Linked DNA regions of Lonchura striata. The protein of the gene in region 4 purifies or fractionates together with the protein of the main gene of each other region. This does not show direct contact. Links are inferred from orthologs where the notes say so. Each region holds a gene or a part of one and is shown on either strand. Other genes may lie near its edges. The genes, in order: SOCS6, COPS8, ASB7 and CUL5.

What was found.
Region 1: the proteins of CUL5 (region 4) and SOCS6 purify together in Homo sapiens (affinity purification with mass spectrometry; 5 studies listed by BioGRID and IntAct, counting the BioPlex papers as one, with this or other methods). This does not show direct contact. The link is inferred for Lonchura striata from reciprocal best matches to the Homo sapiens genes CUL5 and SOCS6.
Region 2: the proteins of CUL5 (region 4) and COPS8 purify together in Homo sapiens (affinity purification with mass spectrometry; 3 studies listed by BioGRID and IntAct, with this or other methods). This does not show direct contact. The link is inferred for Lonchura striata from reciprocal best matches to the Homo sapiens genes CUL5 and COPS8.
Region 3: the proteins of CUL5 (region 4) and ASB7 purify together in Homo sapiens (affinity purification with mass spectrometry; 6 studies listed by BioGRID and IntAct, counting the BioPlex papers as one, with this or other methods). This does not show direct contact. The link is inferred for Lonchura striata from reciprocal best matches to the Homo sapiens genes CUL5 and ASB7.

The regions. Positions count from the first base shown.
Region 1 is NC_134603.1:56,548,319-56,555,488, reverse strand, and holds the start of SOCS6 (suppressor of cytokine signaling 6), read right to left. Parts: upstream 3,003-7,170; 5' UTR 2,808-3,002; intron 2,757-2,807; exon of another isoform or gene 2,678-2,756; intron 2,103-2,677; exon of another isoform or gene 2,081-2,102; intron 751-2,080; exon of another isoform or gene 674-750; intron 1-673. UniProt on the Homo sapiens protein: SOCS family proteins form part of a classical negative feedback system that regulates cytokine signal transduction.
Region 2 is NC_134610.1:38,284,730-38,291,878, reverse strand, and holds the start of COPS8 (COP9 signalosome complex subunit 8), read right to left. Parts: upstream 3,004-7,149; 5' UTR 2,930-3,003; coding exon 2,852-2,929; intron 2,059-2,851; coding exon 1,988-2,058; intron 1,239-1,987; coding exon 1,190-1,238; intron 1,017-1,189; coding exon 884-1,016; intron 90-883; coding exon 1-89. UniProt on the Homo sapiens protein: Component of the COP9 signalosome complex (CSN), a complex involved in various cellular and developmental processes.
Region 3 is NC_134613.1:21,482,802-21,490,746, reverse strand, and holds the start of ASB7 (ankyrin repeat and SOCS box protein 7), read right to left. Parts: upstream 3,019-7,945; 5' UTR 2,949-3,018; intron 2,244-2,948; 5' UTR 2,149-2,243; intron 1-2,148. Other genes in the region: LINS1 (protein Lines homolog 1), read left to right, coding at 6,849-7,253, 7,340-7,429. UniProt on the Homo sapiens protein: Probable substrate-recognition component of a SCF-like ECS (Elongin-Cullin-SOCS-box protein) E3 ubiquitin-protein ligase complex which mediates the ubiquitination and subsequent proteasomal degradation of target proteins.
Region 4 is NC_134604.1:44,393,943-44,401,338, reverse strand, and holds the start of CUL5 (cullin-5), read right to left. Parts: upstream 3,016-7,396; 5' UTR 2,769-3,015; coding exon 2,745-2,768; intron 1-2,744. UniProt on the Homo sapiens protein: Core component of multiple cullin-5-RING E3 ubiquitin-protein ligase complexes (ECS complexes, also named CRL5 complexes), which mediate the ubiquitination and subsequent proteasomal degradation of target proteins.

The DNA.
Region 1 (7,170 bases), on a different chromosome or scaffold from region 4:
CTCTTCTGAAAAATAAAAAACATAAAAAAAGGGTAAACTCAAAGTTCTGTATTTGCTCTCAGTTTAATACTTTACAGTACAAAATATACAGCTACATGGCATAGGATATCTCTATTCTGTTTTTCATCCTATCCAATTTATACTCAAGACATTTTAGCATCTGCATTATATTCCCTTTTATGCTATTGGCATCTTATTTTCTTCCTTGGAGCATCAGAACTGCTTGAGCTACCCTCTTTTAATTTGTTGCTAACACACATTAAAGCCCCATCAACAAAACACTGAGGCACACACCAGCTGAGAACAGTCTCCTTCCTATCTATTTTATGTTATTGCATTGTACTACCCAAACACTATCAAACTAGTGCTGCGTAGGCCCAAGAGAGCCATAAAGAAAGAGGAAAAAAAGGCACTCGAGCTAGGGATTACCCTGGACTATGGCCCCACTTCTGCCAACAATAGCATAGCAAGTATATAGTGTACTCATGGCAGCCCTACCAAATGAAGTCCTGCAAGTGTTCATGTTCAAATTACTCTAAGACTATAAAAAAAATCATAAGAAAGAGCAGAAATAATTAACTTGCTTTGTATGAACAACTTCTAGTTAAGATTACACTCTCCCATTCCACCAATTCACTATGCCAAGGAGAGTCAGAAATCATAATCTACTCACAGAATAAGAACCAGTTACCATTTCTTCAAACCATCCCTCTCCAAGAGTAACCCAGGGTTACTGACCAACTTCACAATCTAGGATCAAAGAAGTTAACAGCATATTATAAATTAATACACAAATGTTTTTTAGATTTCAGTACGTCAAGTTTTTATGAAGCTACCAAGTCTCCTGAATCTATGCAAACACTTGGATGCTGCAATACATGCAGTGCATTAAAGTGATGCTCATGAAGCCCCTGGAAACAACACAGAGCTTCTTGCTAAATACTCCATACCCTTGCAGCTAATCCAAGAAGTTAGCTAATATGGGTATGTCTGTATAACAATACACTGTTATCACTTATTTAATTTAATTTTATCTTTTAAAAAATTTATTTAAATCTCAAAACTTGGGATATAGGGAATACATCCCTAATTAAGCATACAAGAAGTGAACCTGGTTTCAAGTAAAAGCTCAGTTCCAAACACAGTGTAATGCCAGAAACCCAAGAAATATCAAATAGGAAGTGAAAACAGTACTTGATGGGGGTTTAACACATCAAAAAACTGCATTTTGCAAAAGCTGAAATTGTCTTTCTTAAGTTACACATAAAACTGTGCATTATGACTACTATCTTATTGCAGAAGACTCAAAAAATACCTACACATTCTCTAGCTGTTTAGGGTCTTCCAGCCAAGCTAAGTAATTTGTTTCATAATCGCACCAAAGCTTCCCTATTTTCTACAATCCAAAGATGTGTCTATTAGCACAAACAGAAACTAGAAACAGAACCAGTTCTACTTTATTCCACCCATAGAAGAAATGCAGATGCATTATTCCTGGAGTACTTGTGCAGACAGCAGCACTCCAAGACAGGAGGCCTGCAGCAGGCATTTTTTAACTACAGGTGTATTGAGAGGATAGACACGGCATAAACATTCCTGGCCTGTAGGAAAGAGTGGTTAAGACCTCACAGTGAAAGGGTACAAGAATTTTTTAAGGGGAAGTCAGTTTCCCTGTCTAAAGCATATTCTATGAGCAACTACTGTAATGCAGTGCCCTACTCCACACGAAAAAAAAACATTGCGTTCCAAACCAAGATGATTTTGAAAACATAGGGAGACAAAAATAAAGAGGACAGAAAGACGTAGCCAAAGTACCCTCACATCACAGAAGCATCATCCTCTGCATTTCTCAAAACCCCGTTGTTTTGCAAAGGCTTTTTTCATAAGCAAACGGGCTGGCATGGACTAGTTGTTTTCTAAGAGAAGTGGCATCATGACAGAAAGAGAGTAAGAACAATGAAAGCGAATAAACTTTGCGGATCTGGTAATGCTTTTGTTGAAGGCAAGTTCTTAAGCGCTGTCTGTCATAAAAAGGAGCCTCTCTCGCTCGCCCCTTCGGGAGCTCTCGGCGCACCCTCACCTCGCAACAACCCGGGGCTCCTCCACCGCACAAATCCCGACACCGGCTGCCCAAATCGCCACCTCCGGGCACCCGCCCTGCCGGAGACGGGGACACACCAGCCTCAAGTGAAGGCGGATTTCACGGCGGGCTGAAGGAAAATCAGCCCAATTCCGCCGTCCCCCACAATGGCACCAGGAGGCGCGGGGTGCATTCGGGCAGCGGCCCAGGGCAGGAGCACGGGAGCCCGGCGGGCCCCGCTGCGGCGACTGGCGGGGACGAGAGGCTGGCCGGGACCCCTCCTGTCACGGCGGGGGCCGGGCAGCGCCTCGCCGGCCCGGGCCCGGCGCTGCTTCCCTCCCGCCCGCCCGGCCGCCTCGCAGGCCGCGCCGCGGCCCCGGTGGCTCCGCAGGGCCTGGCACCGCCGCGGGCTCGGGGAGCCCAGCAAACAAAGGGAGCCGAGGCCGGGGCCGCGGCCCGGGAAGAGGGCGGCGGGCAAGTGACGAACCGCGCCGGCCCAATCCACGGCTCCCCCTCCACCGCGCCGGCCCTCCGCGCCCCGCGGCGCGGGGAGGGGGCGCCGGGCCGCGGAGCGCCCGCTGCCCCGGGGACGCTCACCCGGCGGAGGCCGCGGTGTCCCGCTCCCGGCGCGGGCCTCGCCCCGGGCACCTCGGCGGCGCGGCCCGGCCTGCGCCGGCTCCCGGGCTCGGCGGGGAGCAACCTCCGGGGGTGGCGGAGCGGCACTCACCGAGGGGGAGGAGAAGGAGGAGCTGGCTCTGCTGTTGCTTTCGCGGGGCCCGGCCCGGCTCCGGCTCCCTCCCTCGCCGTGCCGCCGCCTCCCTGTTCCTGGCGCCGCCGCCGCTTCCTCCGCCTCCTCTGCCCCCACCCCTCCGTCCTCGGAGGGGCGCACGGGGGCGGCGAGCCCGCGATGGCCGCCGCCTGCCGCAGGCACGGCTACGGCTGCGGCGCCCGCGCACGGCCCGGCGGCGGCGGGAGGGCCGCAGGCATCCCCGCTCCGTCCTCGCCTGCCCGGCCGCCCCTGCCGCCCGGCCGGCTCCACCAGCCCTCGGCGGCCCTTCCCTTGCTCGGGTCTGGGCGCCTCGCCCGGGCTCGTTCCCGCTTAGCGGCCGCGGGAAACCCGCGGGGGGCAGCCGGGAGCCGCGCTGGAGTGGCAGCAGGGAGGCGGTCTGGCTTTGTTAGCCCCGGCCCTTTCCTCTCTCCCCCAGCGCTCCGGTGTGTGAGCGCTGCGCTGGGCTCCAGGAGCTCATCGGCCAAGTTCACAGGGAGCCACCTCCCCTCGTCGTTCTGGCGGGGGCAGCCCCTCGCTGGTAGCGCCCGGCCAGAGGGGTCCCGCGGCCGCCCCCCGCTGCCGGCCACGGGCGCTCCCCTCCAGGCCCGCTTGCGCTGGAGAGGGAGCGGGAGAGGGAGGCAGGGAGGTGATCTTTTCCTCCGCTTCACCTTCCCTCACACCTCTTGACGTGAAAGCGACGCGCCAGAACAGGCGTTACTTTTGTGCTCCACTCTGCTTCACAGATCTCCTCGAGAAATTGACACTAAACTTCAGGCATACCAGCTGTGCTGCAGCAACTTCAGCCAAGCAGACTTCTTTGATTGCTTGTTCCCCGGTCTCTTCTTAAAAATAAAATGCTAACTCCTGAGCAAGAAAACAATTCTTAGTTTAGGATGTGTGAGACTGATGGAAACAACAAGCAGGGTGTGAAGGATTAAAATCTATCGACGATACGGCTCTTAAAAGTTGTTGCAAGTTGTGTTTGCTGACTGAAAAGTTGTTGCAAGTTGTGTTTGCTATTTTACTGAGCAGCTAGTAAAATACTACCTTAGTTTCCTCCTTGTAGTGTATATAACTGATACAAATTAACAACCAGATTTGCACAGATAAGCACAATTTGCTTACCTATGTAGTCGCATGACAGAGTACTTGTATGGCTTATTATGAAGCAACTGACTTCAAGGTTAAGAAGTATCCAATGACACTCAAGATGTCATGCACATGCTCCTTGAATTCCGGGAGATCTGAGGTGTTAGTGAGTTCAGGTCAGTGACTTGTTTAACTGCCTAGGGTATTTGAGATCCGAGTGTGCCTTTATTGTATTCATATTTTTATATCCCAGGCATTTATAGAGAATTAAATACTTTCCTTGAGTCTCATTCAAGGGTCGTATGCTTCCTTATGTGTCGAATCAACCTCAGTTTCTGGCAGGCTGTGACCATTTCAGATGATGACTAATCAGAGTTGCAGAAAGAATGTTTTTTCTCAAATATAAGGTTTGACTTTTTAATTTATAAATAGAATGATTTATGTTTTAATTAAGTGTTTTAGATTAGAACTGTTTGTTTTACGATTATGATTACATATTATCAGTGGTATAACAAAGCTAAGAATCACTTCAAGTGGATCACATGAAACCTTATGGGTTTTAACTTTTGTTTGTAAAACAATATTGTAGATATGAAAAATACAAATTACTTCCTAGGTTGGCAGTGGTGTTCAAAGAAAGAAAATTAAACAAATAATAAAATACTTTTTTTTTTTTACAGCATTGAGCATTCCTTCTTCTCCTGTTATAAGTCTTATAAACTTATAAGTTTAGCAACCAAGTTAAAAAGGGGAATAAGAGAGAGCAAGCAAGGCTCTAATGGGGAATAATTTAATTTTTGTGCAGTTCTGTCATTTTGTGAAACAAGGAATTTTTCTTTGTGTGTGTGTATGATCTTACCTTCTTCTTGGGCTTCTTTTTCCTTGGGATACAAGCATTTGAAAAAGTAATTACTTTCAGGATTCTGCTGGCATTTGTGCTTGACACATATATGTAGTATTAACTTAAGCTTGTTTAGTATAAACTTTTCAGCAGCAGCTGTGGGACAATAGCAGCAGTATGTGAAGAAGCCAACTGGGCTTAAAATGTTTGTCCTTCATTTTGCTTTCAGGGAGCTTTTACCATAGGCAACTTTTGCAGTGATCTACCTTGCATATGAGATGAATTTTTAAAATCATCTTAGAAATCTTATTCTACAGTCTCTCAAACTACTAAAAAAACAGTTGAGTCTGGATGATGAGATTTTCCAGGCCATATGTTGACCAAAGGTTTCCATGTGTCTGAAAGTGCTCTCTTATCAGTCTTATGAATAAAAGGACTTAGCTTTTTGCAGAAATGGGACTGATAGACAACAGGAAGGTTGAAGAAACTTAATGCAAAATATTTGGTAGCTTTTTCCCCCAAATCTTCCATATCTTAACATTCTTCTCAGTAGTGATGATGTTAAATATGGCTTAAATTAGCATCACTACTCCAAGCACTCACCTTTCTCATTTTCTCTCCATCTCCTTCCCTCCTCCTGCCCGTGCACACCCTTTCCTTTTTTTCAGTGACTCCAGGCCTCATTGGTCCTCTCTAAGCCAGCTCAGGTGGCAAAATCTATTGAGGTTCATTTTCCTAACAATAAATTGTGACATAAAGGAGAACCGATGCCTTATTTCTCACATCTTTTTCTTTTCCATAGGCAACCAGTGTGCTCTTGGTTTGACTCAGTCTTAACATACAGCTTCAAGTTTAGGATAGACTTTTCCCCATGGAAATGTGGCAACAAACAGCCATATCCTAGTGAGAGCAACAGTTTATCACCAAGTCTGAATTCACACAAGTGTGCGACTGATGTTGCATCCTGGATGGCAGACAAGGAGAATGCAAGCGGGATCACTCAGTTGAGTTTTTCTTGGCTTAAAAACACATATTGAACTAAATTGGGCTGTTCGTACATTCATGCATCTTGTTTCAATGCTCTTTGTATGTATCACCTATCAGACTTGCTTCACAGTTGCTAGCTTTTTTGAAACTACAAGAACTAGAAATTTGGTCTTGGTAATAGAAAATAATTTTTTTCCCATCTGATTTCTTTATATTTGGGAGGTTCTAAAATCAGGAACTCTACACCCAGTTTTAATTACTTAGGGGTTGCATATTGATGTACTCTCTATTTTTATATGCTTATGCCTTTTCTCTCTTACTTAAAAATGTGATTATAAATAATTTTATTATTTTTTTAGATCAAACTGTGTATATACAAATCTGTAGTGCAGAGGGACAGGTCAGAAACCTAAATTATGAGTATTCACGGACAACAAAGCCAAAAGTTATGTCCATTGTATCTATTTCTTTCTTATTGCTATCTACCTGAATGGCATAGATTATCATCACCTTCTTACAACTTCCCTGGCCATGGCTCTTTGGCCTGAATTGTGGTGGGAGGTTAGTGCCTTTGTCTAACTGTTCTTGCAGTCATATAGCTCTGATTTTATTTTAAGCACCCAAATGCTTTCCTTTCCTGTTCAGTATATTTCAGAAAGGGAATTTGTTGTAATTTTACTGAAATGTTTAAATTATTGTAATGCTTTATAGGATTTTGATTTTTAGATCTTAAGTGTTCAGATGGCCTTGAAAAAACATATGCTTTTAAGGAAAGCCATATATCCAAAATCACTAAATTGCTGATCATTTTTTGTAACTGTGGCCTAATTTTATGGTTTTAAAATTCCTGTTCTCCTTTTTTATTATGTGAATTTATGTATTCCTTTATTTGTATTTTTAGATAATATAGTATATTTATATTCCTATGTTATAATATGTATTAGAAGTCCCCATATATCACATCATCACATATGGTTTTCAGACATTGTAGGTTGTTTGCTCCACTTTAGTTTCTCTTAGGTTCTTGCACATTTTCTGTTGATAAATTCAATTTCTATTATTAAAGTTCATTTATGTAAATATTTTCAAAGTGGGTTTTTTTTCTTTTTTTTGGAGGGAGTTCCCCCTCCACCCATTTTAATACTATTGTTACAAAAAAAAAAAAAAAAAAAAAAAAAAAAACCCAAAAAAAAACCACCAAAATGAAGTGAAGTATACAGGAGTTTCTTTCACACAGACAAACCTTTTGTCTCAGATTGGAGTTAAATTTGCATTATTTACTAGTACTGCTGAAATAAAAGGTATAGATGGCATTAAGACCTCTTACAGCTACTAAAAGCTATCATACATAAAAATTATGTGCTACATTTTAATCAGAGTACTGCTATTGCTTCTGTTTCATGC
Region 2 (7,149 bases), on a different chromosome or scaffold from region 4:
AGGAAGGCCAACAAAGGCTGCAAAATCATCTGCAACTATTGATGTGTAAGCCTGGGAAACCAGTCCAAAGGCTCGTCTCCTGGTTGCATCTAGGGAGAGAGAACACAGGACACAAGAGACTCATCTCCAGAGCTGGGAAAGCTGAGAACATTTCCTCAATTCTACCACCTCTGGAAAATCACTACCAGCCTTCAAGTGAGCATTTCAGGAGTTCCCCCTCCCTTCCCACAGCTCACAGTCAGCAGCAAGAGACAACAGCTTGTTCTCTGCCAGGACAAAGCCCCTCAGAGCCTACACTGAACTTCCAAGCGCAGCCTGCAGCATCCTGGGCTGCACCACCAGCATGTAAAGCACTTCAGGGAACTCTGCATCCTCTGATGGCAATATGCCAGCAATTAGTTACTAATTAGTGGCATCTAAAAAGCAGTTTTAGGGAACCTGTTTTGCAAAACACCTCTTTTTAGCAGTCTGCACTGCCCTCTAGGAGCAAGAATCTGCATGTTACCATTACACAAGATGGAAAACATTTCACTGAAAAACCACTTTCTAAGTCCTACAAGGTTCTGAAATGCCAAGCCAAGTTCCCTGGTTAGAAGTCTGATAAAACTGGGTGATTTATGGTCTGTTTTGCTCTTACAGAACAAACCACATGGTTTATGAAAATCCAGTGTCAAAAAATACACAGAAACAGAATCCTACTAAGACCAATTTACTTGTTTCTACAAGGTTTTGTAGAGCTATTTATTTACACCCGACACCGGAAAACCTTTTAGTAAAACCTACAAAAACTTGGCAACAGTTGTCCTGATTTTTCACAATTGACAATTTGCTTCTGTTGGAGCAGACATAAATAATTCCAGGCAATTCCCTGCTCAGCTTGTACCTCTGAGTGCTTCCATGATTGGCTGGACAGTCTCAGACCACTGATGTGCACTGATTGCTGTGTAGATTCCTGGGAAGTCCCTCTGCCAGATTCTTTGTCCCACTGACCAAACTGCACCAAGTTCAGCATTTGCCTGTTGTGACCAAAAAAAAAAAAAAAAACCACAAAAAAACCAAAAACAAAAGCCAGTATTAATCCAGAAGAAAATCCTTATGCAAAAACCCATTTCCACCCCCATATTTTCAGAGAACATTGCTGTGCAACAAAACCAGCAGGTTTCTGAAGTAAATTTGGCCCAATACTTACAGATTTGATAGCAGGAGGGATTCTTTTCCAGAGATAACGTGCATTATTCCTAAAAATAAATAAATAGAAAGACGAAAAATACTTCTCAGTCACCATATGCAGCAAAAAGACACCACAAGGTTTGTCCAGATGCTATAATGAATATTCTCAGTGCTTTAAAAATATTCTTTCCAGGAAGGAATATTGGATACTGAAGTGGGAAAAGCAGAGCTGCTCTCCAGCAGACAACACTGCACTGCTGTAACACAACCAACAGTTCTTTAATTGCCTCATTTAACACCAGTTTGGGAAAGCAACTTCTCCCCAAAACCTCAAGTTTAGTGCATTAAGTACACCCAGAGACATGGAATAACCCCCCCAAACCAAATTCCCAGGAATTCCTGCAGATTTAGCTCCTTCAAGCCAATAGTAACACTCATGTTTAACAGGGATGGTCCAGAGTTATCCTGCTGGAATTTAAACAGAAGGAACAAATCCAACCCAAAACAAACCAATAAATCCATAATAACCCCAAATCCAACCTAAAACAAATGCAGCCCTGAAGAGCTACAAAACAAATCTCTGAAATGTTTAACACTTCCCAGAGGAGCCAATTTCACCACTGAAGGAACTGCATTCCCAAATTCCCACACAGGAAAGGAGAACAGCTTTCTTGACAGATCAAGGGGTGAAAGAGACTCGATTCTTGGGAATATTGTTATTATTTCTCCATAAAACCAACATTTTTATTAATCCCAGAGCCCATTCCCAACGTGCTGGTGACAAAGCCAGTGCCACAGGCTGGGACAAGCCACTTACATGTCGTTGTGCAGCAGGTACAGAGCCAGCAGCTGGCCATACACCAGGGGTGTGGCAATTCCTCCAGGGGCCTGAAAACACACACACATTCTTGGCTTGCAGATTCTAAAGGGGGATGTGATACAAAACGCAGCACCAAGCCAGGTTTTACATAAACTGAACACTCCCAAGATGACTGAGCTTTATTTATGTTTTTTCTCACATCATGTAACAGGTCTTTGCAATTTTCTAGGGGGGGAATAAATAAGCCTCCATCTTCCTATGCTCATAGGAGTTGCAGCTGTTGAAAGTGAAATTAAATCACCCGCCCACTTCGATTACGTTCAGCTCAGGCCACTCCACCACAGCAAAGCCTCTCCGTCCCTCCCAAGAACCTCGAGTTAAGCTTCGGCCCCTGCCACACCTCAGCAGCGCTCGCAAGGAGGAAATAAAGGAGCGATAAAAAAGGTGAAAAAATTTGAAAGCTGCAAAGATTTCCAATGAGGCTTCGGGCCTTTTATCAAGGGACAACAGACCGTAAAGCAGCACAGAGGGAGCTCCCAGTGAAAGCTGCCACATTAAACTCGTTCTAAGGGTAATTCCACGAGCCTGGCTCAGGGCTGCACTCCCCTGATCGATACCTTCATTTTCTCAGCCACGAGAAGGACGGAAACCCACAAACTCCACCACTCCCTCCATTCCCTCTGAAGCGACGCGAATAATAATACGGAAACACCCATTTATCTGCAAGGTGCTACTTTCCGACGGGCTCTCTGGCGAGCCCAAGGGGCAAGCTCAAACACTGAGCCCTCCCCCGCTCCCACGCACCCTGTCCACCTCCCACGCACGGACACAGACCCCTCCCCGCCCCCCGTCCCGCGGCACCTCCAGCTCCTGCGTCTCGCACTGCTCCAGGAGCCGCCTGAAGCTCGCCGAGCTCTCGGCCATCACCGCCACCGGCATCTTCCCCTCACGGCGCCGCCCGCCCGCAGCGGGCGCCGCGCGATGACGTCACTTCCGCTTCCCCTCCGCGCCTCCCGCCCGCCTCTCGGCGCTCCTGGAGGACCGCGGGGGCGTGACCAATCCGGGGGCGTGACCAATACGGGGCCGTGACCAATCCGAGGGCGTGGCTGGGGCGTGACCAATCCGGGGGCGTGACCAATCCGGGGGCGTGACCAATACGGGGGCGTGACCAATTAGAGGGCGTGGCTGGGGCGTGACCAATCCGGGGGCGTGACCAATCCGGGGGCGTGACCAATCCGGGGCGTGACCAATACGGGGCGTGGCCGAGCCCGTGAGGGGCTGAGGGGGGCGCGCGGCGCCTGAGGGCGGCCGCGGTTACAGCCCTTTAAAATCCCTTTGTTTTCTGTGTGACAAGCCAACTTTCCGCGCCCTATAAAGAAATGAGTGTGCCTGGCGTGCAATACGGTTTTCTCTTCGTATCTGCCGCATTTATGCGCTGCGTGAGGCGGACGCCCTCCATCCCTTATTGCACATCCCTTATTGCATGTACGTAAGGGTTGTTCTCAAGGGGTAGGGAGTGCTTTTCCAGCTCTGTACCTGTTGGTGCTGGGCTTTAGAAGTAGTTTTTACAGTTGGGTTCCTTTATCTTTGTTTCCTGTGAAACCCGCTGCCGGCTGCTGGAGACAGGCCATAGGCATGGAGTACCCTGGGTTAAACACAAGGACCAAGTCCAGCCCTGGCCCTGCACAGACACCTATTCCAGCAATCCCAGCCTTTGCCTTGTCCAAACATTCCTTAAGCCCTGGCAGATTTGGGAATGTCACCATTCCCCGGGGAGCCTGTTCAGAGCTCACGCTTTTCCCAACATGCAGCACCAATATCCTAATCAGTGGTATTGCTGGGGCCGCAGATGTAAATTCATATTTTCAGGGTAAAATCAGCCCGAAGGGCTCATTTTCTGCAAAACTTTCCTTTTCTGGTACAACGGGTTTGCTTTCCATCATCATCCTCCTCTCCATATTCCTTGAACAAAGCCTGACCCCAGCGCTTCCACCATCCTCCATCCCCAGCACTGCCCTAAAAATCATTCCCCAAGCCATTTATCCTTCACGCAGGGAATTTTCCCAAGCCGTGCTCAAGAGCTGCACCACCTCGCTGTGAAACTCGTGAGTCCTCCACACTTTTGGGGTGAAAAAAAGAAGAGTGGGGTAAATCCTGATCCCTTTGCCACGGAGTCCCCGCGCTGCGGGAGAGGTTTTGGCTGTGGAAAAACAAAATTAACGTGTGTTTGTGTTCACTTTAGGATTCGCCTGAGGCACAGCATCTTGGAGGAGGGTCCAGGCGATGGCACTGCTGCTCCGCCGGCTCAGGCATCACTTTCCCGGGAAGCAACCTCTCATCCCGCTGCCGTCCCCGCCAGCCGCATCGATCCCGACGGCCCTTTGTAGCCGCCAGCTCTGTGCCAGCGTCGCTTTGACATTCGGACATCTGAGAGGAGCACTGTCCTCACCTTTTGCTCCCGTTCCCAATTATCTCGTGTTTTCGGGAGGCGAGGAGGGGAGCAAAGAGGGCGGCAGCTTGTGATGATGCCGGTGGGGGACCTTCCCGCGGGGATGGGGTCAGAGCATCCCGGATTGCCACCGGGAACACGTTGAATTGGGAAGGATTCCTCTCCTGGGGGCTGCAATCCCACATCCCGATGCCATCCTCCTTCCCGGTGGGTCCAGGTGGGAAGGCGTGAGCCGGTCCCCGGCACCGCTGGCTGTGTTGGGCCGGGGCAGAATCGCAGCCCCTGACCATGTTCCTGCTCCCCGCCGGGAGATCATTTCATCCGGGGGAAAAAAACCCTGTAAAAATAGAATAGAGGAGAGGTTTCCTCAAGAGGGCACTAGCTGCAAGAGAAACTGCCTAAAAATCCAAGGAAACTGGACGTCCAAACATCCCGCTGTCCCTTCCACCCGAGAGAATCTTTCTATTTGGGGGGAATTAGGGGGTTTTTTGGCTTTTTTTTTTTGTTGTTTTGGTTTTTCGTTGTTGTTGTTGGGTTTTTTTTGTTTCTTTATTTTTTTAACATTTCGTTTTGCTTTTCATTTTTCTTTCGGAACAACAGAAGAAGTGCTGCTTCATGCACTGCTGAGCCAAGCCTCCCAAATGCACCAGCCCCTCTCTGGAAGCAATTCCTTGGCAGGGAATTAGCCAGAACCTACCCTTTTGCAAGCATGTTCTGCATCCTCCCCTCTCTCTTTTCCCCCCTTTTCCAAAGCTATTTAAGGCTGTGGCAACATGTTCAGGGAGGAAACATGCCAGAAGGGAATACTCTTCTTTTTGAGTCACCAAGAAAAAATACAGCAGATTTGTTGTATTTTCAGGGTTGTTATAAATCCGGGAGGTGTGGAAGATGTTCCTGGCGTTGTTTGGAGCCTGACCTCAGTGTGGTGGCATCACCCAGGACCTCTGGACGGTGATGGCAGCTGCCTGAGCCAGCATCTCAGAAAACCACAAGGTCATTTATTTCACTCAGGAATTTCTCCTCAATTCAGACACCAAAAGAAGAGGCCAGACTCATAAAACAGCTGAGCACGTTGGAAAATCTATCCCACTGGCAAAGCTAACCACGTTAAATTAACAGGAAGGCTCCTTGACTTGACAGCATCCTGATTTTTCTTTGGCCCACAGGCTCAAAAAGCACTTAAAGACAGTGGCCGCTGGCTGCTGCAGGAGTGTAAAGTAAGTTTAATGTGATTTTTATTCAGCTCCTGGTGATGATGGCAGGAAAATCTCAGCAACTCGTTTGTGCCTTGCATGAATTTTAAAGCAGGGAGGGAAATGGATCCCAGTTCTGCCATCCTGGACAGACCCAGTAGCTTTCAAAGCAATACCAAGGCATTTCCAAGAAAAATTAACAGACATTTCGTGACAGGGCTTAATTTTCCCAGTTGTTTCCATGTGCTGCTGCCTGTGATCTGGAGGTACCCTCTGGAAAGATGATTGCAAGTGGTTTCCTTTTCTCATCTGCTTCCAAAGCTTTGTAGAGGAACAAAAGACTCGTGGTGGGGAAATTAGGATGCAATGGGGCGATATGGAACAATAGGACAGTAATTTAATGTGAAAGTTAAAGAAAATGGTGCTAAAGGGTCAAGATGAACCTCCCCACGCCCTTCCCATTCCCTCAACAGCCTGACTGGCAATAGCTGGGTTGATCTGAGCAAAGGCTGGATCCAAACACGGAAGGTTATTTCCTTCCATGACATCAAAGGGGAAAATGCCTCGTTTTTAGGAGCTGTGCCCATGAAAGGAAATGGCAAGCGGCTGGTGGGAAATTATCATTGCTTTTTCCCCAAACAAGCTTTTCAATCTATTGCATGTCCATAGGGACGTTGGTTTCAACTCCAATAAACAAGAAGCTATCTGGGATATTTGGGATATTATGGGTTTTTTTTTGTTTGGTTTTTTTTTTTGGTTTTTGGGGGTTTTTTTTGGGTTTTTTTTTTTTTGTGTGTGTTTTTTTTGTTTGTTTGTTTTGCTGACCTCACCCTTGATTTTTCAGCTTACACCCAAGGTCTCAATTCTAGAGGTTTATACTCCAGCACAGTGGTATAAATATCTGGCACATGGTGCCCAGAGAAGCTGTGGCTGCCCCTGGATCCCTGGAAGTGTTCAAGGTCAGATTTGGATGGGGCTTGGAGCAACCTGGGATAGTGGAAGGTGTCCCTGCCCATGGCAGGGGGTGGAACTGGATGGGCTTTAAATAAGGTCCCTTCCAAACCATCCTATAATTCTGTGATTCTATGAAGTAAAAAGAAAAAAAAACAAACCCTAAATCAGAGAGGCTGAGGAGCTTGGAGGATATGTAGGAGACCAAAAAGTGACCAGAGTAGCTGGAAGTGATGAGGCTTTTCCACCCAGCTGTCATTGCCTGTGGGGCTCTGTGTCCTCCTGCTGCTGCTCCGGGGCAAATCTCCCCTAGGGCTGAGATCTGGGGCTGGCTGGGCTCCTTTCTGTCCACCCCAGACACCTCCATCCCCCTCCTCTTGTCTTCTCTGTGAGTAACCAGGAGCGATGGCTCCTGCCACAGGCTCTGGAGGCAAAAGCTGCCCTTTAATTAACCTGCCAAGGGCATAAGAGACCCTCTGTGTATTTAACCTAAACTTTGTTTTTATGACTTTCCAGGCTTGTCTGTGCATTTTCCTGTTTTTGCTTTGTTCTCCGGGATCCTCAGC
Region 3 (7,945 bases), on a different chromosome or scaffold from region 4:
AATTAATTTGTAGCAAGTGTTAACTGCTAAGATTCATGATTTACTACCATTAGAGCACCCAAACACCAACACTGCATGGAATGACAGAATCAGGAACCAATGGTGAGTTCAAACCACATTAAAGGAGTCTCTTCAGCCCTAATTCTCACAGCACAGCTGATAAACCAAGTACTGCTTACAGAGTTTGGGTCATTCAACAATCAACAATCTCAACATTCAACAATCTCTAGAAGTACATTTGATACATATTTCTATTTAATGCAGCCTAAAAGAATCCAAGAATCCAAGACATCCAAAATTTGTTGGATTTGTTTAGTGGACAAAGCAAGATTTTCACTGTGATAATATCATTCTGTAAGCATTACTGGAACAAAACAAAACCATCCTTCAGACAGCACATTTCCTTTAAGGGTTGAGGATTCACAATGAGGAAAAACAAACCCAAAATGAGCATATAGCCTGAAGATTAAAGCTTTCTCTAAAGGGCTGCTACATTTGCAACATTCTGCATTTCTTCCAGGGATCAAGAGCAGGATATCAGTGATCTCTGTGCCTTGTTCAACCATGTGCAAATTTCTGCCTGAAGTTAATTCCCTGATTCCTATGAACTCAATTCCAGTCTCTGCATCTGAATCAAACTTTGCTGCACTGGCATTTCACACTAGGAAGGAACTTCACAAATCAAATGAAAACTTAGGTCTCCTGTTGTGAATAAATCCCAAAGATCCCATGAACTGTTGGCACCAAGAGGTGTCCTGTTGGAGCAGCTACAGCCCTGATGTGAGAGGCACTGGGTGGGTTGGGAAAGAGAGGCTATAATAAACTAAATTCCGATTAAACAGCTGTGCAATAGCTGCACTGGTAAGTCTGTACTGATGCACATCTGCTTCACCTATTAGCAGGAAAATCCCCCCTGGAATCACACTGGGCATGTCCACATGTTCTGCCATTACTCTCGAGTTATCAAAATAACATGGAAAATTTCCTCCCTGCACTTCCAAAGTGTGCCTCAGGATTTGTTGCACTTGTGTTACAGAGGAATTTTCTATTTAATTTTCAACACAGAGCAAACACTTTTTATGTTAATCTAAAGACATCTGTATTGGAAAAATGATCCAGCCTTGACCAAGGCTGCTGGCAACAAATACTGCTGTTTCTCCTGCAGGCTAATGCTCAAAAACAACTGATTGCCAACAATGAACAATGTTTTGGTACAGTCAGTGACCTCTCTGAAAACACGACACAGATCAGAGGGACCTCTAGGGAGGGCATCTTAGGCAAAAAACCAAGCTCACCTACACTTGAAACAGGTTAAAATGGCTTCAAGACAGACTCTGCGTTAGAAAAAGGCGCAGAGCCTCCATCCTTTGGAGCACGCTGACAGCAGGATGCAGAAAAAGTCTGACTGACATCATTCACCCCCCACTCTCTCTCCTAGGATCCATTTCTTCATCTCACCACGTAAAACACACAATTCTCCCTACGAACAGCTCTCCCCCTGAAACAGAACCTCCCTCCTACCAGCAGCATTGGATTTGATGACTCCTTTGATTTTTTCCCCTTAAGCACCCAACAGCATCATCTCCTTCTATGATCTCAGCCCAAAAAGTTAAGTACTTGTAAGCAGACACCATCCAATTAAATTAATTTCAATTTTTGCAGCTCCGTTACAACACGCACACAAAAAAGTGACCCACACAGGAGTGAAGTATGACTAAACCAATGTAATGCAATTACCATCACCCAGCCCAATAAAGATTTTAGAATTGAAACTGAAACAAAAGCAGTGCTGAACCCATAAATTTATGGAAAGACTTAAAGAAAAGATCCTTTTAACGACCTACAGCCAAGTATTCTTAAGTGACACCCCTGAGATGAAGACACAAAAGCCCCATTAAGCAGCAATTCATAATCAAAATAACATTTGCAGAATAATTTTGGAAAATTATAAAGTGTTACAAGAAGAACTGTACTTCAAATGGGATTCAGAGCTTTCAAACTTTAAAAGATCAACAGCCAAAGCAAGTAGGTTTTAAAAGAACAAAGAAATCAAATGCTACCTATTAAAATCCATAACAACACAAGAGGCCCCAATCCCAGCCAAACCATGTGTCTAGGATGACTCTCAGAGTCTAAATGAATCATCACCTTTCTGGGGGTTTTTTGAGTGCTGCTTTCTCTCTTCTGTGTTATTTTGTTCTTTGGAGTCACTATTTTTAATTCTCCTTTAAGGCAGCTTAAACCTAAAAAAAAAAAAAATAAAAGTAGTACTGAGCCACACAATGACATAAAAGAGAAAAATGAAGAACAGAACTGGTTAATACAAAAGCAGCAACTGGGCAAAATAGGAAGAGCCTTCACAAATTTGGAAGGAAAGGGGTTATTCATCAAAATCGGGATCTCTCCTGGAAAAAGAGGACACTCTCTCAGGATACGAAGGAGTTGAAGGGATAATAACTGCAGGACCGCTGCCCCGTCAAGGCAGCTCCTCCAGGGAATGGAAGTAAAGATAAGTGCTAAAGAATGGGACAGGAAGTAACCCAGAAAGCTGAGCTGCTGGGAAACCAAACCTCTGCCTCGCAGAGGAGTTCACGCTCCAGGAGCCGTCAGCCGCGCACACACACACACAAACACACACACACAAAAAGCCGGCCGAGCCCCGGCGCACAGCCCCGAGGCCCGGCGGCCGCCAAGGCACCCGGCCCGCCGCCGGGGGCTGGGGACGGGGACCCCGCTCCGCGGGCAGCCCCGGGGGCGGCCCGGAGCCCGCCGGGCGAGCGGGCAGCGGCGGTGAGGGGCTGCGCATCCCTTCCCAGGGGGAGCGCCGGGGGCTCCCCTCACAGCCCCGCACCCGCCGGAGGGGCTGCCCGGTGTGGGCGAGGGGAGGCCATGGGGTCGCGCCCCCCCCCTCCCCGCGCCGCGAGAGACCCCGGGGCAGCCGGGGTTACCTGCGGGACCCGCGTGCCGGAGCGGGGCGGGCCGGGGGCCCCGGGCGCGGCCGCCCCCCGCGCTGGCGGCGGCGGCGGGCGGGGGGTCGGGGGCCGAGCCGAGCGGGGACACTTCGCTCCGGGCCGCCCCCCTCGGCTCGCGGCGGGGTCGGCGGGCGGGGACTGACCCGCGCCGCGGCCAATCCGCGCCCGCCGCGCCGGCCCCGCCCCCGCCCGCGCGCCGCCGCCGCGCCGCCATTGGCCGCCGGGCTGACGGCGGGCCCGCCCCCGCCCGCGCGCCGCCGCCGCGCCCCATTGGCCGCCGGGCTGACGGCGGGCCCGCCCCGCGGCTCCGCCCCGCTGCCGTAAAGCCGCGGAGGAGTCAGGGGGAGGGGGTGACTTTGCGACAGGGGGCGGCGGTGGCGGCGGTTCCGGCGCTGTGATCGAGCGGAGTTTGGGCCTCGCGGTCCTCCGGGAGCGGGTGAGGGGCGAGCGCTGCCCGGCGGCGGGGCGGGGGCGGGCCCGTGCGCGCCGCGGCTCGGGGTGACTAAGCGCGGCCGCGGGTGCGCGGCGGGAGGCCGAGAGGCGTGGCCTGGAGCGAGAGAGGCGGGGCCGGCCGTGAGGGGCGGAGCTTTGAGCTGTGGGCGTGGTTTGGCTGTGGGGCGGGGCTTTGGTAATGAGGCGGCGGCGGGAGGGGCTGAGGGGGAGACGGGCGGGGCTGAGGGCGGGAAGTCGCTGCAGGTGCAAGGAGTCCAAAGTGTGGTTTATTCCTTAAGCACTACGGTCATTTCATTGTAAGGACATCCAAAGCCTTCCGATTCATACCCAAAAGTCACAGACTGAGCCTTTCGCTTCATCAGATCTAATTTTATAATGAAAATAGGATGGGGTTTTGGATAATTTTTTCCAGAAAAAAAAAGGGCCTTAAAGCTCATCTCTTTCCATCCTTTGCCATGAGCAGGGACACCTTTCACCATCCCAGGCTGCTCCAAGCCCTGTCCAGCCTGGCCTTGGGCACTCCCAGGGATCCAGGGGCAGCCACAGCTGCTCTGGGCACATGTGCCAGGGCCTCAACCCCTTGCAAGGAACAATTTCTTCCTAATTTGACTGAATTAACATTGTTGATAGCACATTTTCCTTGCTTTATTTTTTTTAAACTTTAACTCAGAGATATAAGTGAAGAAGCTTAAGTTTCTTCTCTCATTCTGTTTGCAGCTCCACTTGACTTTGGTTTTGATTTTAAATAATTTTTAATTATGAAAGTAACATACAAAACCTGCTTTTTTTTTGTTCTTTCTTTCTGCGTAGTTTTCTTTTCCATCTTTTACATGATCAGTCTATATATAAGGTTTTTAGAACTATTCCTTGTTGTTTGTGCAGGAGTCTGGCTCTGTGAGGCATTGCCTTAATTGGTTTTTAGATGCTGTCAGGAGTAACTCAGATAAATAATACAAATAAGGGTTGGAGCTTGTCACTGCTTTTCTTTACTCTTCAGCTTTGAGCTTTTCACTCTCATGCTGTGTCTGAAACAAATTTAGCCCTTGTCTGATATTTTCTCCCTCTTTGAAGTAAATGCCTTCAAAATAAGCCCCCTCACTTTTCATTTCCTTCAATGGCTTACGTTTGTGAACTGTTGTCATGTGTGAGTGAGAAATATCTTAGAGATGCTTTTGTGAAGTTTGCAAATTAATGGTGGAACACAAATGTGTTCTGGGAGGATCCAGGAAGGCACAGCCAGCGTCGTGTGGTGAAGGTGAAATCTCCCAGTGGGTGTCCTAGAAAAGTTCTGAATCTCTCCTGCCTTAACCACCTTGCTGGATCGTGTGAATTTGTGCATGAGATCTCTTCCTCTACCACATAAGGTGATAATTCAAGCTGATCTCGAAAACAGGAGTAAATGTGTTGAGATGATTTTACTTTATTAGGTAGTCATTTAGGAAGAAATAAAGCTCAAGGATAGGAACAATAGCTATATAAAATATTCAGAGTGATTTCTGAAAAAAATTTATGCCTTTTCAGGTCATAAATTTCCACCTTAAGTAGAATTCTGAAAAGATTCTGCAAATGAAGAGGGAATTTATTGCCTGAAATACCAGATGTATTCTTAACATCCAGCAAAATGTGGAGGATGGGGGAAGGGTTCTTGCTTCTATCAGGTGAGGAACATGCTGTAACATTTTGGGGTTTTCAGGTCAGCCCTTGCCGAATGTCTTTAAAAATACCACACCAGAGGGAATTGTAGATTACTCCTGCAGGCAACTTCATGCTCTCAAATTTTAGTTTCTTTTCTGGAGGAAATACTTCCTGATGTGGGAGAAGTGATGAGTCAGGGTAGCACATCTTGGTCTACCTCCAATCCTTCGTGCCTTTGGGAAGCCATTTTGTCAATACATGCTTTAGTATCAATGACAAAATCAGGTTGTAAAAATGAAGGTGTCATTTTCAGTGTTTGATGTTGTTTTTAAAACTTGTGAAGATTAGAAACTACAATTAAATGCCTCATATGCTGACTTCTACAATTTCATTGTTTTCTAATATTCTGCTAAAAACAATTTAAAATTAATTTAAAATACTTGGTCTAGTGACATATGCAGGTAAAACTGCTACATAGATGGGAAGATCTTTAGAATTTCTTGCTGGTTTGAAGACTGAATGGTTTTCTTCCTTTGGTAAGAAGGGGGAAATGCATTATTTAAAGAAAAGCCAACTACAGGTGTATGGCTGCAGGATTCTGCCTGGAATTCTACCTGGTTGATTATGCCAGACTTAGATATGGGGATCCAGAAAGCATGCAAGTAAAAAAGGTATGAAAATTCATATAATCAACTTTAGTTCCACTCCTAACTTCACCATAGATAAAGGTAATGAGTTTGTTGGTTTTAATTAAAAGAAATCTGATTAGAGATCATGTTAAAACTGCTCTAAAAGATAAATATTACAGATGAGCATAATTCTTAATGTAGGTGAAAAGAAACCAAATTTTCTCAGAAAAAAAATATCCTTAATATCATCAGGCTATCTGTCTGGCCATTTATATACTGGACAGAAAATTTTGAGGGCTTAGGTGCTCATACCTGATGCAGAAATTTGAATTCTTAGTAGCTCTTCATTTTAAACTGTAGCCAATATTCCAGTGCTGTGATTGAAAGATGTCTTCTATTGACATGGGGATAAAGACTTTTTTTTTAACCTTTCCTGAATATGTTTAAATGTTTTTATTGGCTCTTAATAAATTTGACACTCTGATTTTAAATTATTCTTTAATTTTCACTTTCTTAATTGCTTCTTAATGAGGTTGGCCCACCTTGAGCCTGTGTGCAGAAGTCAAGACTTGTCCTTCCTTTGGCTTCCATTTTTTTGAGAGCTGTTTCCAGTTCCAGCCACAGTGGAGCAATGAGCATTTCCAGTTCAGAGGAAAATTTGCAGCTGAAATTTTATGCCTGTTTTTGGAGGCATCTGTCACAAAAGAATTTAGATTCTAGTAGTTTAGCAATGTAGAGAAAGATTTAATCCAAGTTCTCATATCTTTAGAAGTAGTCCCTAATAATAGTTATCTTTGGGTTTGTTAATTCCAGCTAATGAACATTGGTGTTGGTAATATAATACTGGAACTGTGAACTTCTTCCCAGCATGGTAATTTTTCATTTTAATGTCTCACTGAGACAGTTTTGTGCAGCTGAATTTGCATTTTCAAAACAAGTTTAATAATGGTAGCATTAACTCTAAAAATGTGTTGTTCCTTTATATTTTCTAGTTGCTTGCAAAGTAACAGCAGAATGTTTTATTTATAGGTAATTTAGAAGAGAAATATCCAGTGGTGCTTCAATTTCTCTTACTGTATGAAAGTGACTTGGAAGCTGATTTGCAGTGAATAATCAGAGAAGCCACACAGCATTTTCTGGAATATTGCATGATTTCATCATGAAGATCTCTCTCCTGCAGCAGATGTATAAGGACGTCCTGGCAGGCATTCCCCTAGCAAGGGAAAGCCATTATTATTCCTCTTTAATTAATCTGTGTGTGGAGCAGCCACCAGGAGGAGATGAATCCTGTCATCAGCAGCATCTGCCATCTACTGCTGGTGGCGTTGGGAGGCATCAGGGCACTGATTTGTCAGGTGTTGTCCCTGCAACAGATGATTTATCCAACAGCTTTGCCAACATGAGCTCCTCGTTCTGCCCACGGGAGGTGATGCTGCTCCAGCTCACCTTGATCAAACTGATGCTGGCCAAAGCAGAGTCCCAGGAAATGGAACTCCACACGAGACAGAAGTACTGTGAAATCTTCATTCTTCTTCTGAAGGAGGCAAAAATTGACTCAAAATTGGTAACTTCTGAAAGATATTTTTAGGAAAGGAGGAAAAATAAAAAGGGATGTGCCTTAGATATTTTTCCTTTTTTACCTGTCTCCAGATTCACCTGCTTGGTTCTGATGATCGGCTGTTATCTCACATGGCCTCACAAAGTTTAGCATCTCTTGTGTATTTCCAGCTGAAGAAAGAGGTGAGTGTGGCATCACTTCACAGCTCAAAAAATGAATTGGTGAGCCTGTGCCTGCAGGTTGTTCCATTTGACTATACAGCCAAGTTTTTCTAGTGTTTGTATTTTCTGAGAAACTTAGTCAGCTGTGTTAGGAGGAGCCTGGAGTATGGAAGGTAAAGAGATATGATGTGTAAACAGAAGTGTGGAGTGTTTTTATATATAAAAATCTGGAATTTTATGAAACTCATTTAATGTAAAGTGGGTGTGGATTACAATCATGTCTTTGAGGTTGCAATACAGATATTAAAAAGCCATGATCTAGACTATCAGTTTTACAGTTCCTTGGTATCTGATGGGTGATGCAGTAGATAAAAATAAATAATAACCTCTTGGAAGTTAATAAAATGCTTTAGTGTATGCTCTTGTTGAATAACCCAATTACTTGAGGTTTTTTTAACTTGCTGTATATTTAGTGAATATGTATTGCAGTCTCCATAGTAGCATCCTGAACACACATTTATTTCATAATTATGTTTG
Region 4 (7,396 bases):
CTGCATTTGCTGGCAGCTCCAGTAAGGCCCTACAATAGCAAGATCTGCCAGCATGGATACAGCTATAGGTTTTCTTTGTGCTACAATAAGCTAACGTCTCTTCTGTTCAACAAACTTCAGAAAAACTGAAATGTCTTCATGTCACATGGGTGAATTGGTTTAGACTGTATCATCACTGCAAAGAGAACAAGTTATAATCCTACAGGGCCCCTGAAATGAAGTATCCCACTTTAGAAGTGTCACATGTGTGTTGAGACAAAAAACTCTAGGGACTCCGCTGGAAATGGCTTGGTCACCTATCAGAAAGCCACTGCCTCAGCGAGGGAGAGCAGCTCTGCTACAGGTAAGGCAGGCACCAGCTGACCCTGTAATGGCTCTTACTAAGCATTTCCATCACATTACAGTTTGCTCTGTCTCACTAGGATTCAACACGACTGCTCATTCTAATTTTGCATTTAAAGAAGGCTCTCCAAGAATATGCTTTTCAGAAAAGAATTTACAATTAGGAAAATTAAGCACTAGTGGAGTTTAAATGACACCCTCAAAAATTATGATGGCCAGTCAGATTTCGATTCAGCTACTATCTGTTAATAGAATCAGAAAGGAATATTTCACTTCATTGTCTCAACTATGCGGAAAGCTGGATGGGGGAAAACAAAAGAAGATACTCAGGTCCTGCTCATGCTGGCAAAACTAAGGCCTGTCTATACCCAACATAGATTTGATTATGCAGGCTTATTTGAAACAGATATGAAAAAAACTTTCAGATTTTAACACCTCTCCTTCCTTATCCTGGGATTTTTACTGTGCCCAGACATTGTTTTTTTCCCCATTTAAAGATGAAAGCAGAAGTAGGTTGGACAGACTCAGAGGGCACAAGGCACTGCCAGGGAACACTGACCTGGAATGAACAGTTTGCTTCTCAGAGAGCACTCTGACAAATGGAATTGGGGAACAAAACACCTTACCTATTTCTAATTCTCACACTAGTTTATCTTGCCATTATAAACCAAGTCAAATCACTGCATAATCTTTCCTTCTGTAATGTGGGAATCATACTTTATTGTCATTGAAAAACTGACTAATTAGTAAACTAAATGCTTAGTAACACTTTGAGTGACCAGAAATGCCTATTTTACAAGACATCTCTGCGGCATTTTTCCTTAAACACACTGCACATATATATCTTATTGTCAATATAAAACACTGACGACTCAAAGGCCAATGGCAAAATCATGACCAGTTAACAAAAAGACTTCAGTTTGGCAAGGGACATCGCACCAAGTCAAGGCCTCTTTACTGCTCTTTCAAAATAGCTGAAGTGGAATGCTGACAAATCTTACGGCTTATGTTTCTCCTATCTGCTGTGGGCTATCCCATCACATGTATCATCAGAGCATGTGCTGGACTTTTGAGAAATCCTCAAATGCACAGAAAAGAGATGATCTAAAACATTAACAAGTGGATAAAACTGAGACCTGCTCTGAACACATGCATTTCCACAAAAAGAATATTTCTTCTTATGAGATATTTTTTTCGCCTGTATTCTTAGGTTCCTCAGTTTTAGATTTTTAAGTATTTTGAAGTATTATCTGCTTAAATATCTAACAACTTCTTACAGGCATAAAACTATACAGGAATGAATTCAAAATAATTTCAATTTCAAGGAAGATTTTTTTTAAACATTTCTTTTTAATATAGAGTTTTTTTAATATCCTGAAGAGACAAAGGGATAAATTAGTTCTCATTTCTTCACAATGAATGTCCCAGAGTAATAAATAAAACCAGCAGATTCAGGCTAAATCTATGCATCCAAATTAGGTCAGGTTAGTAAAATGCAAGCAGCACTTTTCCAGGACCATACTGAACTATAACATGCAGTAATGAACATATGTTTATGCCTATATTTATATATATCTTCAATTGTCAATCCCTCAAGCAGACAGCCTGCCCTAGGCCTATCTTAGCACTGTAGTTAACTGGTGGTTTAGAAACACTTACTGTAGGCACTAATAACAGTGGTTTCAAGTAGGCCCGTCTTCCCTGTGCTAGCATGGCCTCAAAGGCCACACAGAGTCTTCTCCTCATACATACCACAAAGATCAGGACAGGCAGTCCTGAACTCTAACACTGGACTGTCCCACTGAAATCTTCCGTTCCAACCTGTAGGAGCCTGGGGTGACTGACATCTGCCATCAAACGCCAGGAAAGTGCTTGAAAACATATGACTACAAAAGCAAAGCTGCTTAACGTAAGTGAAAGGCCTCCGGGAGTTCTCCTTTGCAGGAAAACTGCAGTTAACAAAAAAACTGGAACACGGTGGGCACCCCAATAACGGCACCTGCCCTCGGCAAAGACATTTTCCAACTCTTTGTTTAACTTAAAACTCATCTCCCGTACACCCGGATTTTCTTAAATAAACAAAGAGAAGACACGGTGCCCTGTCTATCCGCACGACGCAGCGGTGTTTCCCAACGGGGCGTGTTTGGGAAGGGAGAGCCGGGGGCAGGGATCGCGGGCCGGCAGCAGGCAGCAGCTGCCGGCGGGGCCGGGCCGGGCCGGCAGCCCAAGGCCGCTCACCTGCGGGCGGGCCCTGGAGCGGCAACCCCGGCCAGCGGCACCCGCGGCCCGCGCCAGGCCCTGCCCCCGGCCCCGCTGCCCTGCCCGGCCCGGCCAGCGCAGGGCCGCCCGGCCCCGCCGCCTCCCCCCTCCTCCCGCAGGACTCGGCCGGGCTCCGCTCTCACCTTTAGGAGATTAGACGTCGCCATGATCCCCACTGCGGGGCCTTCCCGGCCGGCCACGGCGGTTTCTCTGCTCGAGCTCGGCTCGGCTCCCACCGGCCGCTGCCGCTTTACATGGCCCCGGGCCGCTCGCCCGCCCGGCCGGACCCGCGGCGGCAGCGGCAGCAGCGGCGGCGGCCTCAGCGTTAGGCTTCCTTGTCCCGCGGCGAGGCTCAGGGAGCCCGGCAGCGGCTGGGACCGGCCGGGTGCTCGGCACGCAGCCGCCCTCAGAGCCTCATGGCAGCGTCCGCCCGGGCGGCGCTCGGCGGCCGCGGCTCCATGGAAGGGGCCGGGCCCACATGATGCGGCGCTGGGAGCGGCCCCGCCGCCCCGCGCGGCCGCGGCCCGCCTGCAGCGCCCCCTGCCGGCCCGCCGCCGCGCCGCCCGGCGCCGCGGGGCGGGGCTCGGCACGGGGCCCCGCGTTCGGCGGGACGGGGCGCTGTGGCCCGCAAGCGCAGAAACAACTTGACTACTAACTAACTAACTAACTAACTAACTAACTAACTAACTAACTGACTGACTGACTGACTGACTGACTGACTGACTGACTAGCCCCGGCCGTCCCGCCGTGCTGTCCCTGCGGGTGCTGCGGCGCAGACCTCCGCACGCCCTGGCGGAGGGATCGGGGAGCACCGCGGGCACACCCGCACGGCCACCCGCACTGAGCCGTGTGCCGACAAGCCAATTCCCTGCCCTACGCCCATCCAGCTAAGCCGCCACGCTTCGTGCCAGATGTCACGAATGTTCTATTTACAGAATTATTAAGTGTGTAAGCATCTGCAGGAAGGGTGTCAGGAGAATGGCCAGGCTCTTCTCAGTGGTGCGCAGCAACTGGAAGGAGAGACGATGGGCACGGAAGTTCTACCTGAACATAAGGAGGAACTTCTTTACTGTGAAGATGCCCGAGCACTGGAACAGATTGCCCAAAGCAGTTGTGGAGTCTCTCTCACTGGAGAATTCAAGAACTGTCTGGACACAATCCTCTGCTCTAGGATGGCCCTGATTGAGCAGGGAGGTTGGAACAATGACAGGGAGCCACCGGTTAGGGAATGTCCTCCTTTTAAGTAGCAGGGAGAATGGAGTCCCAGCTTGGGGTATGGGCAGGACCCTAACTCTCCACATGGCAGGGCGCACGGGGTGGTGTTCGCACCTGGTCCTGCACGGGGTGGACTGGGCAGGTGGACGCATCTGGTTTCAGCCATGAAAGGGGAGTTAGGGGATCCTCCTGGCCTGGTGACTCAAAGTGAGAGTGGCCAGCTAGGAGAGGCCGTTCAGCTCATTAGGAGCTGGAGTCGGGGGTTGGGATCTCCTCCTAGCCTGGGTCAGGGAGAGTAGAACCTACCTACCATAGGCAGGTAATTTATAATTTCTATTTTTCTTTTACGTGGTACTTCAGTTACGTAGTTTTTACTTTCGAGTCCAGGACTACCTGGATGTAATTTGTTGGTATAATTGCTTTTTAGATACTGATTATTTGGGATACAAATGGTTATTGTTTAACTGTTTCCAGCCGAGTTAATTGTGTGAGTGTGGAAGGTGGGAGCACCAGTATAGTGAGGTTCTGGGATGGATGGTGGCCAAGAGTCCCCAGACCACTCACCAGACAGGGAAAGTGAATTTAAAAGCATTTAGTTAGAGAGAGAGAATTTCTGCATATTGTACTGTTAGTTTGAAAGCAGAGGTATTAAAATTTATAAGCTGCTAATTTTTATGTTTGAGTTCAAGACTACTTTCATTTAGTTGGTACTAACTATTTTTTTGGAATAAGTAAAAAGTTTAATTTTAATTTTGGGGTGAGTGGTGCTGACAGCTCTGAGGTGCCATTTTGAGTGCGAATCAGTGGTGGCTCAGAGGACCCATTTTGTGACTGGGCTGAAAGGGAGGGGGAGCCGTAACAGGCAGGCATTGATTGATACAGAAGGAGGTGGACCAAGGGGGGTCTAAGACTGACAGAGGGCCCTGGTGGCCGTCTTGTTAGCTGTGCTTAAGTTTGTGGTCCTTATCATTAAATTATAAGAAATACAATTTATTTATATGTGTGACTTAGTTGTGATTGGAATCTTGTTGTCAGTTATAGTGAGTTCTTTTATTGTTTTTTGTCTCTAAAGATTGTTTGTTTTATTGGATTATTTAATTTTTTTTGTTCATTGTATTTATTTCAATTGCGAGAATTCCAATTTGGCATTTTGGATCATTAATAGTTAAATTTTGTTTGATCTTTTTATTGTAATCTATTCAGATTGTTTTATTTAGTTGTTTCTGTTAGATTCATATGGTATTCTAATAGTTTAGTTTTATTTTGATTCTACATTTTAATTGTTTTATCAATTTTAATTCTACATTTTAATTTAAATTTTTAAAATTTAATTCTACATTTAAAATTCTACATTTTAAAATTTAATTCTACATTTTAATTGTTTATCAATTGTTTTAGAATTGTTTTACTAGACTAAATTTGTCCAATTTAATTATTTAATTCCAATAATTCAATTTAATTATTTAATTATTTTATTCAATTGTTCTACTTAACAAAATTTGTTTAATTATTTAATTCCAATAATTCAATTTAATTATTTAAATTTGACAGGTGTGATTTAAATTATTCTATTTCAGTTATTCTGTTTCAATTCTACTAATTATTTCATTCTATTTCAATTATCTGATTTTCAATTATTCTCATTTAAATCTGAACTAGGTTAAAAGTTGCTATTTCAATTATTTTATTCTAATTGTTTTATTTCAATAGTTTTATTCTGATTTATTTAGATTAATTTTTTATTCAATTGTTAAATTAAAAATATTCCAATTGTTTTATTTCAATAGTTTTATTCTGATCTGTTTATTTCAATTCATTAATCGTGTTATTCAATTGTTATATTAAAAAAACAAATCAGTTTTGTCAATTCCATTGTTTTGTTGGATACAGTTATTCAAAATGAGATCATCATATTCTATTGTGATTGCTTATTTCTAATAATTCTATTTAATTTTAATTGTTTTATTCCAACTGTTTCTTTATTGCATCCAAACTTACCAAGTGTTGGCGCAAAAATGTGTGAGTACACAGAATTCAATAGCACCAGTGTACTTTTCATGGTCTGGTCTAAGTCCCCTTAGGCACCTGACAGATATCGTGTAACACGCTGCTAGCCTGGATGGGTCAGCAGTGACTGTTCTGGGTATGAGAGTTTGTGCATCCTGCCCCAATATGCTCTTGTGAAATACTTATAAATAGGTTAGCCAAGGAATAAAGAGAACTTGAACATCTGAGAAGCAGAGAGACAAGGAAATGCTGGTACTTTTTACTGATATTGAAAATAGTGAGTATCTCATTTTACATGGTTTATACAATGACTGTAATTGTTTGGGTTTTTTCCCCCTGAAGATCTGTACACGAATTTTCTGGGAAGCAAAGACATCTGTGAATCTTAAGGATTTGTAGGATGTTAGTACCACTTCAGGGTGTTTCTGCAGTGCTCAGTGTTACACAATATTGTTTTATTTACTTTAATTCTATTACAGATGGATTATTATTCAATTCTGCTGTTAATGAAGATATTAATTACTGATTGGTACTACACTGGTCTACAGTTTTAATCCTTTGCATGGATTGTAAAAGGCAGAGGGAATCACAATCCCAGACATGCACTGCTTCAAAGTGATTTGCAAGGAACAGCTCATTAAGATTTGGATGATGAGTGAAACTCATATCATCATAATATTCTATATATTTTGGAGTACAGTGATTCCAAGCTTTGAATGAGTTGCATCAGAGAGGAATATGTATTTCTATGATCTGTTCTAATGACCTGAAACCAGTAAGATGAAAATAGTTTCTTCTAATCTTAGTTCATGAAGGGAAAAATGTGATGGTTGATTAGTCCATTTTAAACTCTTCTCCCATCAATCTAGTTATATTCAGTAGGGATACTAAGACTTAGTTTTTCTTTCAATTGGAAATTCTTGTTTATCACTGCTGTGGATTGTCACAACGAACCCATGCACAAAACGTACTGTGAGTGACTAAAGACAATCCTTTTAAAAGGGCAAGAACACTCAGATATCTACCTATAGCTGAAAAAAGAAGCACTGTCAGTGACCAGACTTCTGTGTTTGTTTCCATTTCAACAGGTAAGCAAACACTTCTGGTGTTTTCTATCTGGGCTTCACATCACCTTTTCTGTTAATAACAATGGCATTCTGCAGAAATTGCCTGCATGCGACAGTAAAGACTATTGTTGCTTTCACTTAAAGCAGCCCAAGGCTTTGCTATTTTAGCATCACCAGAATCACCTATCCTGTGCATCTCAGTTGGACCCCTTTGTTCTCATGCCAGCATTGTCCTTTAGCTTAAATAACCTCTCTCCCTGATGTTTGTTTTTCTCTGATGTAATTTTTAGACAACAGTACTATTACCTCATAGTTTCCTTGCTGAAAAACCTTACACTTTTTATCCTGAGTGTCATTGAGGATGGTGTGGGGTGGTGCAGAGCAACTATTTGCAGGCAGAACCTGCAGGAGGTTTTTTGTTGAGGCCAGATTCCTCCTGGGACACAGAAACACATGGCATGTATTAGGCAGAATGTGGCCATTGTTCCTCACACAAGCACAGAGTT